2 linked regions of the Chlamydomonas reinhardtii genome follow. The protein of the gene in region 2 interacts with the protein of the main gene of each other region in a pairwise test. Links are inferred from orthologs where the notes say so. Each region holds a gene or a part of one and is shown on either strand. Other genes may lie near its edges.

What was found.
Region 1: the proteins of CHLRE_09g400553v5 (region 2) and CHLRE_04g217550v5 interact in binary tests that used the Arabidopsis thaliana proteins (3 or more experiments, as listed by UniProt). The link is inferred for Chlamydomonas reinhardtii from reciprocal best matches to the Arabidopsis thaliana genes TOR and EIF3C.

Annotation. Positions count from the first base shown.
Region 1 is NC_057007.1:242,709-248,448, reverse strand, and holds the start of CHLRE_04g217550v5 (uncharacterized protein), read right to left. Parts: upstream 3,299-5,740; 5' UTR 3,102-3,298; coding exon 3,099-3,101; intron 3,033-3,098; coding exon 2,848-3,032; intron 2,766-2,847; coding exon 2,657-2,765; intron 2,488-2,656; coding exon 2,215-2,487; intron 2,059-2,214; coding exon 1,957-2,058; intron 1,779-1,956; coding exon 1,675-1,778; intron 337-1,674; coding exon 249-336; intron 1-248. Other genes in the region: CHLRE_04g217500v5 (uncharacterized protein), read right to left, coding at 4,334-4,632, 4,825-5,316, 5,637-5,740. UniProt on the Arabidopsis thaliana protein: Component of the eukaryotic translation initiation factor 3 (eIF-3) complex, which is involved in protein synthesis of a specialized repertoire of mRNAs and, together with other initiation factors, stimulates binding of mRNA and methionyl-tRNAi to the 40S ribosome.
Region 2 is NC_057012.1:5,518,333-5,523,988, reverse strand, and holds the start of CHLRE_09g400553v5 (uncharacterized protein), read right to left. Parts: upstream 3,247-5,656; 5' UTR 2,863-3,246; coding exon 2,624-2,862; intron 2,429-2,623; coding exon 2,368-2,428; intron 2,205-2,367; coding exon 2,043-2,204; intron 1,864-2,042; coding exon 1,660-1,863; intron 1,489-1,659; coding exon 1,295-1,488; intron 995-1,294; coding exon 873-994; intron 633-872; coding exon 510-632; intron 121-509; coding exon 1-120. Other genes in the region: CHLRE_09g400516v5 (uncharacterized protein), read left to right, coding at 4,271-4,525, 4,869-5,030, 5,381-5,527. UniProt on the Arabidopsis thaliana protein: Essential cell growth regulator that controls development from early embryo to seed production. Controls plant growth in environmental stress conditions. Acts through the phosphorylation of downstream effectors that are recruited by the binding partner RAPTOR.

The DNA.
Region 1 (5,740 bases), on a different chromosome or scaffold from region 2:
GAGCGGGCAGGGGGTGGTTGGGTGAGTGGGGCGGGGTAGGTAAGTAGCATAATAGGGGGGAGGGAGCGGATGGTGGCAGTGGCAGGAGTCGTTTATGCAAGGCGGCGCCCTGCTTTCCAACCCACCCCCCTGCCACCCCTCAAAGCGCCACGCCTTGCAACTGGGCCCCATTAAAACCACATAACAAACAAACGGCAACCACATGCCCTCCTCCCTCCACTCCTCCCATTCGCTTTCACCACCCTCACCTCGAACTTCTGCGCCGCGCCGCGCGCCACGGTGGCCAGGTAGGTCAGCATCTCCACCGCCTCCTGCTTGTCGGTGCCGCGGCGGCCCCTGAGGTGGGGTAGGAACAAGGTGCGTGCGTTGGTGTGTGTGTGGGGTTACATTCATGATTAGTTAAGGAAGTGGGGGGATGTGGCGGGGATGTGTGACGAGTGCGTGATGAGTGCCACGGGTGCCCGCTGTGAACAGGCCGGTACGTCAGCACAGCCGGAACCAGCGCCGCGCCGCCCAGACCGCCGCGAGAAAGCCACGGCACACGCGCCAGCGACGCTGCCAGCCGCCGACCGCGCTTCGACTGCTGCAACTGCTACTGCTATCCCTGCTGCTGATGTTACTGCTGCTGCAGGGAACGTGTCCGCAACAGCTGCCGCCGCCCCCCTCTGTCACTGCCAGCACTGCCAGCAACGCTGCAGCCGGCAGTCGCCGCTGCCGCGACGCCGCCGCGACGCCGCCGCGACGCCGCCGCGTGCCGAGCCGCGCGCCAGGGGAGCCGCCCGCCTCCTCCATAAATGCCCGCCCCCCTCTTCCCGCTGGACCGACGGACTGTGCGGCGGGAGCGGCCGGGCCTGCCCCGCCCCCCTGCAGCTGCGCCTGGCTCCTTGTCCAGTGCGTCCACTGCTACTCCAGCGCCGCCATGCAGTGCCCCTGCCTGTCTGCTGCTGCTGTGGCGGCGGCTGCGGAGGCGGCGGCGCTGCAGGCGGCGGCTTGCAGTCCAGCACCTCCCTCCCTTCCTCCCGGCACTGTAGGTGGAGGCGCCGCCGCAGCCGCTGTGGCGGAGGGCCAGGCCGTAGCAGCAACAGCTGCTGCTGCACCGTAGCGCACCTTGCCGCGCAGGCGGGCATGCCAGCGCGCCAGCCCACGCCAAGCCATACGCCGCCGTGCCAGCCGCGCCACTGCCGCCGCTGGTGCGCCCGGTGCTCTCCCGCCCCCCAAGTCCCTCCTGCCGCCAGCGCGGCGCCGCCCGCCGCTGCCTGGCAGCGGCGCCGCCACAGCCGCAGCACACAGCCACGGTGGCAATCGGGCGCCTCCGTAACCCCCAGCCATAACCCCTGGCCAAAGCCCCCTCCGCGAGCCGCGTCGCAGTAGAGCCCGCCCTCAGCTTGCAGTCACACAATGCGGCAATACCGTCGCTGCTGTTGCTGCTGCTGCTGCTGGCGCCATTGCTGCCGTTGCTGCTGCCGCTGCCGCTGACGCAGCTCCCGCTGCCGCTGCTGCTGTGCAAGCGGGTAGCTCTCCGCGCTCCTTCGCCGTCAGCTGATGGGATCCCAGCGTTGCCACCAATCTCGGAGCTCCACGTCTCTGCCAGCCCGTACGTGCCGCCGTTCCCCGTCCCGCCTACGCCCTCCCCCTCCTCCGCCCAGCCCGCCCTCCCCCGTCCGCCTCCTCTACCTGGCCATGACGATCTCCCTCATCTTGCGCGCCACCATCTCGTAGGTGATCTCCTTGGGGTCCATGGTCAGCAGCTTGTCCTTGGCCTTGGCGGCCAGGGCGCCCTATTGTTATGGAAGGCCAGGGTTGCGTATGGAGGGGGAGCGCGTGGGGGTTAGCAGTAGCGGGGGGAAGGGTTCCAGGCATATGGTTAGTCAGACGATGGCAGTGACGAACAGAGTAGCAGTTGGCAGCACATGTCCAGGCAGACACACGGTACACGAAACACAAATGCAAGCGCACCTGCTTGCGCTCCTCGGCGTCGCGCTCGTCGTCGCTGCCGCTCTCGCTGCTGCTGCTGTCCGCCTCCGACACCTCGTCCTCCTCGTCGGGGTTCTCGCGGACCTGTGGCATGCGCAGGCGTTTCGCAGCATTTAATGGGGTGTTGCAGAGTCTGAGGCACGCATCCTCCTCCCGCACACGGTGGCCCGGACCCCCGCAGCCCGCTGCCGCTCTGCGTGCGCTTCCCCCCTATCTTTCCATTGCTGACCCCCGGCCGACCTTGTTGAGCTGCTCCAGCAGGGGCGTGTTGTGCTTCTTCAGGCGCTGCTTCATGGTGTTCAGCGCCTTCGCGTTCGTGGACGACATCTTCTTCTTCACCAGCTCCTTGTTCGCCAGAGTATCATTCAGGTAATCCTCCAGGTCAACCAGCAGCTTCAGGTACACGCGCGGCAGCATCGGCCCAGACAGGAACTTGCGCGTCTTGTCAAGGCGCGCGTTCAGCGTGTCGAACAGCTCCTGGATAGCGCTCCAGTCGTTGATCTTCATCTTGTTCTGTAAATACACAATAGGAATGCAGCCGCAGCGTGATAGACGCTCAGAACGCCGGTTTTCGCGCAAAAAAGCCTTGCCGCATCTCTCCCGCCACACCGTCGATCGTTCCCCGGCGCCCCGTGGCCACCCCATCGCTCTGCACATTTCCAGTCGAAGCTCCAGGCCTCACCCGGATGTCCTCAGCGGTTTGCGCGAGCTCGCCCATGCGCTTGTCCTTCTCGCTCTTCACCACGCGGCGATCATTGTCCGAATCCGAGTCGCTGGACCCAGCCAAGAACCTGAAATCATAGCATAAACACAAAAACGGTGAGCGCTGGGCGATGCACGCGCAGGGCACCTCGGCGGCTGCGATGTGCTCACTTGTTGGGCCCGTCGTCGTCGGAGTCGGAGTCCGAGTCCGAGTCGGAGTCAGAGTCCGAGTCGCTGTCAGAGTCCGACGAGGAGCTGTCGCCGGAGGAGGAGCTCTTGCCCTCCTCCTCGCTGCTCTCCTCCTCAGTGGTCTCCTCCTCCTCATCCTCGCTCTCGCCGCGGCCCCAGAACTTAGACTGCAGAGAAAAAGAAACTCCAGATCAGCAAAAGGCAGCGCCGAGGGGAAGAGCGAAACGTCCTACCATTTTTCGATCTAGTCGGCGGCGCGAAAAGAGACTGTTGTGATAAATGCAAGTGCGGACTTTGCCGCAAATGTATCCTAACAAGTAGGAAAGGACGGGTGCCGGTTCAGGGGAAGCGGCTTCTGGTGGAGGGGCTGCGATGCAGCGCGCGCGGAATGATGGTCTGTCTGCTCCCTGAGCCCTGGGCTGCTACAGACTGCACAGAAACCACTGCTAGTTAATTCAATTATGTGCGTGTTAAATGCACCAAGGTCGTCCTGGCACGGTGGCACGCCTCCCCTGCGCCTGCCCGGTGGCAACCTCCATCGCCCCCACCACACCCCTGCCACCCTCAGCACAGTAAGCAGCGCGAGGACGACACTCCACTGCAGCTGCTGTTATCTTCGCTCTCCGCTGCACCTCGCAGCCCGCCAGCCCGGCTGGGCGTTCGGCTGCGCGTTCGGCTGCCTTCGCCGCTGCCTTCGCCGCGTGCGTTGGCCCCAGGTCTGACTTCATCATCTGCTGCGCTGTGGCCCACTGCGGCGCGACTCGTTGTTCTGCGAGCGCTGCCGCCAGCATTCCTATGCCCCGGCCGTGCTACTTATGCTTGCACCACCTTCGTCATTTCCTCCCGTCGCAACAGCGCCGCCTGCAGGAGGAACAGCGAGGCTGCGAGGAACAGCGAGGAAGGCCTGCTGTGTCCGCCCACCCGCCACTGCTGGTGACCCGATGTGGGGGTCCCTACAATCCCCGGCCCAGGGACCCCGAACGCCGAGGGCTCCAAGCGTCGCCCCATACAACCACGAGGCCACGAGGCTAAAAGGGCGCCCCCCCCCCTGCACACGGTGCGTGGCTCTCTGTCAAGAAGGAAGAGGCACGAGCAGTGCAGGGCAGCGGGCGTGGCAGCGGCGGCGGCGATGACGACAGGTCTCTCGGGGCAGTGACATGCCTGGATTTGGTACTTCGTACCGCATTACGCAATACGCATGTACTCATGTTGCCGGCTTCCGGCGTGCCGCAATCACGGAAAGCACACAGCGCCCACACACCACTGACAGCACCTCTCTGGACTGCCCAGCCGACCCGCCGTCAGCTGCCCCGCCCCCTGAGGCTCCTCAGCTCCTGCCTTTGCCACGTGTTCTCTTGTTGCTTTGTCCTCATGCCTCATGAGCACAGCCCCCTTCCCCTCCGTCCAGAAGCCACCACACAAACGCTGCCATGGGTACCGTGCCCTCCAATCCCAGCCTCCTGCGTCGTCACTCCACGCCCGCCGCCGCCAACACCAACCGTGTCACCGCCCCCACATCCAGACGGCTCGCCACCGCCACCAGCGCCCCTTCCTCCCCCTCCCTCCTCACTGCCCCGGCTGCTTCCCCTCTCCGACCGCCGCCCACGCTAGCCGCCGCCGTTGATGCGGCCGCTGCCGCCGCCTCCGCCACCGCCACCGCCACCGCCACCGGCCCCGCCACCGCCACCGCCACCGCCACCGGCCCCGCCACCGCCACCGGCCCCGCCACCGCCACCGGCCGCAGCAGGCTCATGCCCCGCCGCTCGCCTGTGGGAGTGTGGGTGTGTGACCAGGGCAGGAGCGCGTTGAGCCGGACAGACAGTAACTACTGACGTGGATTCGCAGTTGGGCACACAACCGTTCAGGTCTTTGAGCCACAACCCGCAGCAGGCATGCGCGTGTTGCCCTCCATTGTGCTCTTTTCGCCCGGTCCATCAAGCTGATAACTGTCAGGCGCACCTTGCAGAACAACGCTGCACCGCGCCGGCCGCCACTCCAGCACCACAGCCGACGCCGTGGGACCCGCCGCCGCCGCCGCCGCCTCGTCGCCGGCATCAACCCCAGCACCCCCGCGGCTCCGCACCGCCCCCTGCCCTGGCCCATCGCACCCGACCCCGGCGGCCTCTGGTGCGCCCAGCTCCGGCCCCGTCCCGAACTCAAACCCGGTATCCTCCGGCCCGCCCAGCCGCGGCGCGACCAGCTCCGGCCCCGTCCCGAACCCGCCCAGGCCCAGCGCTATGGCAGTGGCCAATGGGTCGCCTAGCAGCATCCCCCCGACAGCAGCAGCCGGGGCAGGGGCCGGAGCAGCGGCGTCGGGGTCGTGGTTGGGGCCGGGGTGGGCCGGGTCGGGAGCCGGGGCCGGGGCCGGAGCCGGGGCGGGGTCGGGGTGGGCGGGGTCGGGGGCCGGGGGCGACTTTGCCCGCCAGTCCGCCAGGAAGGGGCGGAGCACGCCTGGGGTTGGGCGTCGGTGTGGGCGTCAGTGCCTTGGAGTGCGTGTGTGTGGATGTGACACGCACGCCCCGCGCGGCGCGGGTTGGGGACAACTATGAGAGGTGCTGGATGTCCCATACCATGGCACGGGATCGGGATCGGGTGCGCATGCGACGTGTCGATTACCAGGCCGTGACCACAGCCGCAGGGTTGCGGGGTTGTAGATACCAGCTCAAACTAAACCAAACGCAATGCAATAGAGCGAGGAGGAGAGCTGGGGGTGGCGAGTGGAGCTCAACGAGCCGCCGACGAGGTGTGTGTGCCGCGGCCAGTTGACCCACCTGCCAGGAAGCGGCCCGCTGCGGGCGCCTGCTCCACCGCCTGTGCCGCCTTGGCCCCGTCCGCCCCCGCCTCCGCCTCCGCGTCCGCCGCCGCCCCCGCCGCC
Region 2 (5,656 bases):
CGGGCCGCGGCCGGGCGGCGGCGCGCGCGGCGGGCGGCGCCGACAGCGCCTCCCGGATGGCGACGTAGATGGGCGACAGGCAGCCCTCGAAGCCTGTGGATTGTTTGGACGTGAGAGTGTCTGGAGGGCCGGCGTGCGTTGCGTTAGGGTGGCGCGGGCGTCGGGCCCACGGATGGCCTGGGCGATGTGGTGTAACAAAGGCGCAGGTGCAGGCACAGATACAGGTGCCAGCGTGCCACTACCGTAGTTTGGTGTCCCATCGCCCCGCTTCCCTCCATCAGCATCCCTTCGCCCCGCCCATGCCCCTACGCCTGCCCTTTTACCCCGCCAACCAACCCCGCACCCCATCCCCCAAGTTTCGTGGACGGCTATCAACCTCCATTCAGCAACACCCCCCTTTGCCGGCCCCTGTCCAACAAGCACCAGCAACGCCCGCCCCCTGCAGTTTCTTCTTCCTCTCTCAATGCCCCTCGCTCCCCTCTTCTTCCTCATCTCCTAGCGCCCCTCACCCGCCGCGCAGTTGACCCGCGCCAGGGCCGCCGCCATGTCCGCCAGCGCCGCGAACGCCGCGCCGCGCTCGGGCGGGTTCTTCAGCACGATCAGCAGGAAGGCAATGGCGCGAGCCAGGTACTCTGTGGGGTTTGAGGAGGGGAGCAGGGCATGAGCAGAGGGGGTTGCAGGGCATGAGCAGAGGGGGGGACAGCAAGGCGGGTGCGTTCAGTCGTCTGCGCAGCGGCGTTCTAGCCCGTAGCTCAGACTCAAGCCCTGCGCACCAAGACCCGGCCCAGCCCGCCCCACGCACCGTGCCTCATCCCAAGCCTGCTGATCCAGGTCCAAACCACACGCCGACTTGCCCCCCCCCCTCCCCTCACCCGACGCAAAGCGCTCCGGCGAGAAGGCCGCCATGCGCGGCAGCAGGTGGATGACCGCCCGGCGGATGTTTTTCTCCTTGCTGTCCTTGTAGCGGAACACGTTCTCCACAACCTCCTTGTAGCTGAGGGAGCGAGGTGACGGGGGAGGGTAGCATGAATTCAGGACCGGCAACCGGCTTCTGTGCTCCCGGCCCTGACCCATACAGCGCCGCAGGCGCAGCATACCCAGACCTACTACTGGGCGACACCTGCGCCCTGGGCCACGCCGGGGACGCCGGTAACATCGGTGGCACCGGGAGCTATCCCACGGCAGCCTACTACTTCTCCCCGACGCCCAGGCCTGAAACGCCGGAAGCCGTCCATGCAGGGACGGAGTGGTTGCACTGCGTTAGTGCAGCCGGATTAGCCGCAGCTCCACTCACCGCGCCAGCATGAATTCGCCGGTGTGCTGTAGCAGCTCCGCCAGCGCCAGCAGCGAGCCGTGGATGGACTCGGGCGAGGGAAGCGCGCCGGTGCGGTGGTCGCGCTTCATGCCGCGCATGGTCTGCTCGTGCAGCTTGTAGTACCACTGCACGCGGTAGCGCGTCTCGCGCTTCTCCACCAGGCACAGGCAAGCCTGCGGCAGGTGTACAGAAGGCGTGTCGAGCAGTGCAAGAAAACACAACTCAACGCAGGCATAGCTATGATGGCCTTCGCCCCGTCCATTATGCTGAAGCCATTCCCGCATATTCTGACAGCCCTGCCAACCCCAGCACGCGTCCTGCATCCAGCCCGCAGCGCGCCGCACCTTGAGCGCCCGCACCGCCGCCTCGCGGATATGCTGCTTGGCGTCGCGCAGCGGGAACCACACCGCGTCAATGAACGACTTGACGTGCACGTTGAACACGGCGGGCGCGGACTCCGCCGCCTCCGTCAGCACCAGCAGCGCAGTCAGCCGCCGCGACTCATTGGGCTCATTGCGGGGGTCGCACCAGGCAAGCGAGCGGCGGATCTGGGTTGAGGGATGGGCCAGCCACGGGGCGCGCCGTGTAAGTTTGTAAGCATGTCTTTCCCCAGCGTGCACATGAACGCACCTCCCTTCCACTTCCCAGGCGTCACTCCACATCTAAGCCCACCCCACGCCATGTGTCGAAAGCATCGCAGCCCCATCGCCGCCGCCGCGCCCCTCACCTCCTTCTCCACGATGTCCGACGTCATGGCGCCGCCGCTGCGCACCAGGTGTCCCAGCGTGTGCGAGGCCGACTCGCTGAGCACCGGGTCCTCGCTCTCCTCCAGCACCCGCGACAGCAGCCCCGACAGCCGCGCCGTCTTGGCAGCGTCGTCTCCAGAGAGCTGCAGGTGTTAAGTACGATATGATTCAATGGACCAAGAATGTACAGAACTTTGTTGGCATTATATCCGGTGGTTGGTGTGCCGTTAGGAAATGGTACGTCCGCACGGGTGTGCCTGCGCGCAGCAACGTCTCCGGTTGCTGCAGCCTAGCAGGCTGACTTACCTTGACATCGATAAGCTCGTCAATCGCCAGCACGCCACCCATGCGCCGCGTGATGTCGTTCCTGTGCAAGCGCCGGCAAAGGAGAAGTCAACGCTTCGTCCGTGTTTGGCGTGCTGACCCGCAGCCTTGTTCCCCACAGCTGCTTTACCCCCCTTCCAGGGTCCGGGGCCCCAGGGCTAGCCCCCTGAGGACTCCTCTTGCAGGCCACGCATGACACCACCTGCCCATGCCCCAAACGAGAGCCAGGCGCCCTCACCCTTTGAGCAGCATGTTGCCGATGCGCTGATACACGTCGGTCATTAGCCGCCCAAAAGCCTCCACCGACAGGTCCCGAGCCTCCGCCTCGATGTACTCCAATAATGCTTTGTCACCATCCTTGTGGCGCCGCTCCCATGCGCCAGAACGGCACAGCTCCTCCAGGTGCCGCGAGAGCGTGTCGCCACCGGCCTTGAAAGCCGGTTTGGTGGGCACCGGACCCACTCCCGACAGCATCATATTTGCGATGCTGCTGCTAAGCTGCTGAGAACATTCCGCAAGCAGGTACAAGTGCTAAGAGTAAAGAGCAAGGGTTCTGCTGCACCGGGTTTCGCGCTCCTGCCTCGGTGTAGCCGTGAACCCGTAATTGTACTCTGGTAGATAAGTTAATACACCACAGCAGCAAAGCGAAGGCCCTGCCGTTTGCGGGTTGTTGCGGGGGGCTGGATTTGTCGCCCCCTCGCCGGTACGCTGCGGAAAGACCTGAGTCTTTGCCCTAATGTCAAGAGCAGCAAATTAAAGACGTGCCTAAGCTACAAACAAGCTCTGCACTTGCGCACGGCGCCCACCGAACGCTAGTCGGTTTTGCCTGCGAGTGGCGCCGACATGCTACATTTACTAAGATACATCAATCTACAGTTACAAAGTCAGCAATGGCGGGTGCACGCGAGGAGGGAGACTAGCGCGACTCCTCACGTGTGCATTGGCACGCCACGCCCTGGCGCCCCCTCTGGCGCCTGGCCCACGAGTCCGCCCAACTGCAGGGCGTCCAGGCAGACCATTTCTCATACAGCCTGAAAACAGCTGCATCTACCGGGCTTCTGCCGCCCCCAAGTTGAATGGCGGCTCGCCATGGTCCATGGACCTTGGGGGCTTGGGGCCCCTTCACCGCTCCTTCGCTCATCGGCTTGCAGCGGGTCTTCATGAACGGGACATAGGGCCGTGCTCCCCAATCCCATTCCTTGGATGTAGCTACAGCATTGTGACTATGCGCAGCCATCAGTCCTCTTCAGTGAAATACCCAAGCCACCCACGGAGCCACCGCGTTTCTCCAACGCGGGTGCCAGTGTTGGCCCCCCAAGGCACGCAAGCATCCGAAAGCCGAGCCTGAAGCAGGGCTGCCTGCAGGGCATCCGGAGCCCCTCATGAAGCAGCCCGGCCCATATTCATGGTGGGCAGCGTGCACGAGGGCCGATAACACTGGGCACACAAGCAAGGCCATCGGCGCCTACGCGGGCATTCGCAGGCATTGAAGGGCGGTGTCACACAGGCTGCAGGGCAGAGACCGTCACCGCAGCGAGGCAAATTGAAGCTGTTTACAGCCATTGAACTGCCAAATGGGGTCGCCGGGATGGCGCCCGGTCACCCTTGTGGAAGGCGGGGGCATTCAGGGGAGAGATGACGCGCCCTGCCATGCGCTGGCACTGCGGCGGCACTGACACCCGCGGCACGCTTTCTTCGACTTCTTCTGCAAGTGTAACATCATAAAACTACGTTGGATACCTGTCAAATAACTAACAAAGCCTTGGGACCTGCAACGAGCGCCAACGCGCGGGAACTGTCAGCAGCCTTTCCTCAACACAAGCGCTGTGTCGCTGTACGTACAATAAACTGGCCATAGTATAAGGCTGATCAAAGCGGTCCTGACATGGAGGTGACGGGCGCACTCGGCGTTCGGCCGGACCGGCTGCAACTTGATAAGCTTTCATCGCTTGGGAAATGGATTTTTGAAACTGGCACGAAGCACAACTTCATTAATAAGACGCTTACCGCGTTGGACGTGGAGCCCGAGCCCGATGTGGAGTACCTGCTGGGCGATCGTTATCTGGACTTCTCGCTTTGCCTGGTTTTTGCGTTTGCATTCCCCTTCATCCGGGCAATCCTGCGCAAGTATGTGTACGAGGTGCGTGGCGACCCCGGAGCGAGGGGGCGGCGGGGCAGGGGCGCGGGGGAAGGGAGCTCCTTCTCCTGCTGTCTTCTGACACGGACACGGAGAAGTCGCAGAGCTCATCGAAGCATCCGGCAGTCCTCGCCACCGCTCATAGGCTTGGGGCTAAGGAGTGTCTGGCATCGGTGGCGCACAGTGTGGGGAAACTAACATAAATGGTATTGCCTGCCCGTCCCGGCCATGTCCCACACCCACCAGACCATGCCCCCCCTACAACACCACCTAGCTCTGCTCTCCTGCGCCCAACCCAAATCACCAATCCTCCCCCTCACCCTCACTGTCACCTCACGCGCAACAGCCATGGGGCCGGTACGCGATGGGCTTTGGTGACCCCAAGAAGACCGACAAGCGCATGGACGAGGCGGCGCAGGCCAAGATGCGCAAGTGGTGCGAGAGCTGCTGGAAGATGACCATCTACATTGCCTTCACCACACTGGCGCTGGTCGTGTGCTGGGGCGAGGTGAGCGCGTGTCGGGTTGGCGGGGCGGTGTGTGGGGGTTGGGTTGGGGGATGGGGGTGGCGTGGCTTGGCGAGTTGGCGAGACTGTTGGTGTAGGGGTCGCGTCTGAGGGCTTGGGCACCGAGAGGACGCTTAGAAAGAGGCGCGATGATGTAGGTTGATGATGTAGGTTGGCTGCTTTTGAGGAACAATGGGTAACCCGAGGCGAGGCAGTCCAAGCAGGCTTCAGCAAGGCGTCCATAAGCCTTCGCCAACACGTCTCAACCTCTTGAACACCTAGCAACACACCCCGCTCATGCACGATTGTTCCACCCCCATGCGTTTTGTGCTATTCTCCTTTCCTGTGCCCAGGTGTGGTTCACGGACAGCCGCTACTGGTGGCTGGGCTGCACTCGCTTCCCGCCCTGCAACCTGCCGGTCAGCCGCGGGCTGCTGCTGTTCTACTGCGCCGAGACCGGCTTCTACCTGCAGGCCATCCACTTCCTCACCTTCCACGAGGTGGGGCACAGAGCGGAGAAGGGCGGTCGGTGGAGGTGGGAATTACGGTACTCGGAAGCTGGGCTCCAGATGCGGGGGTTGGGCCGGGCTCGCAACAGCTCGCCACCCATCCCAAGACTTCCGGGACCT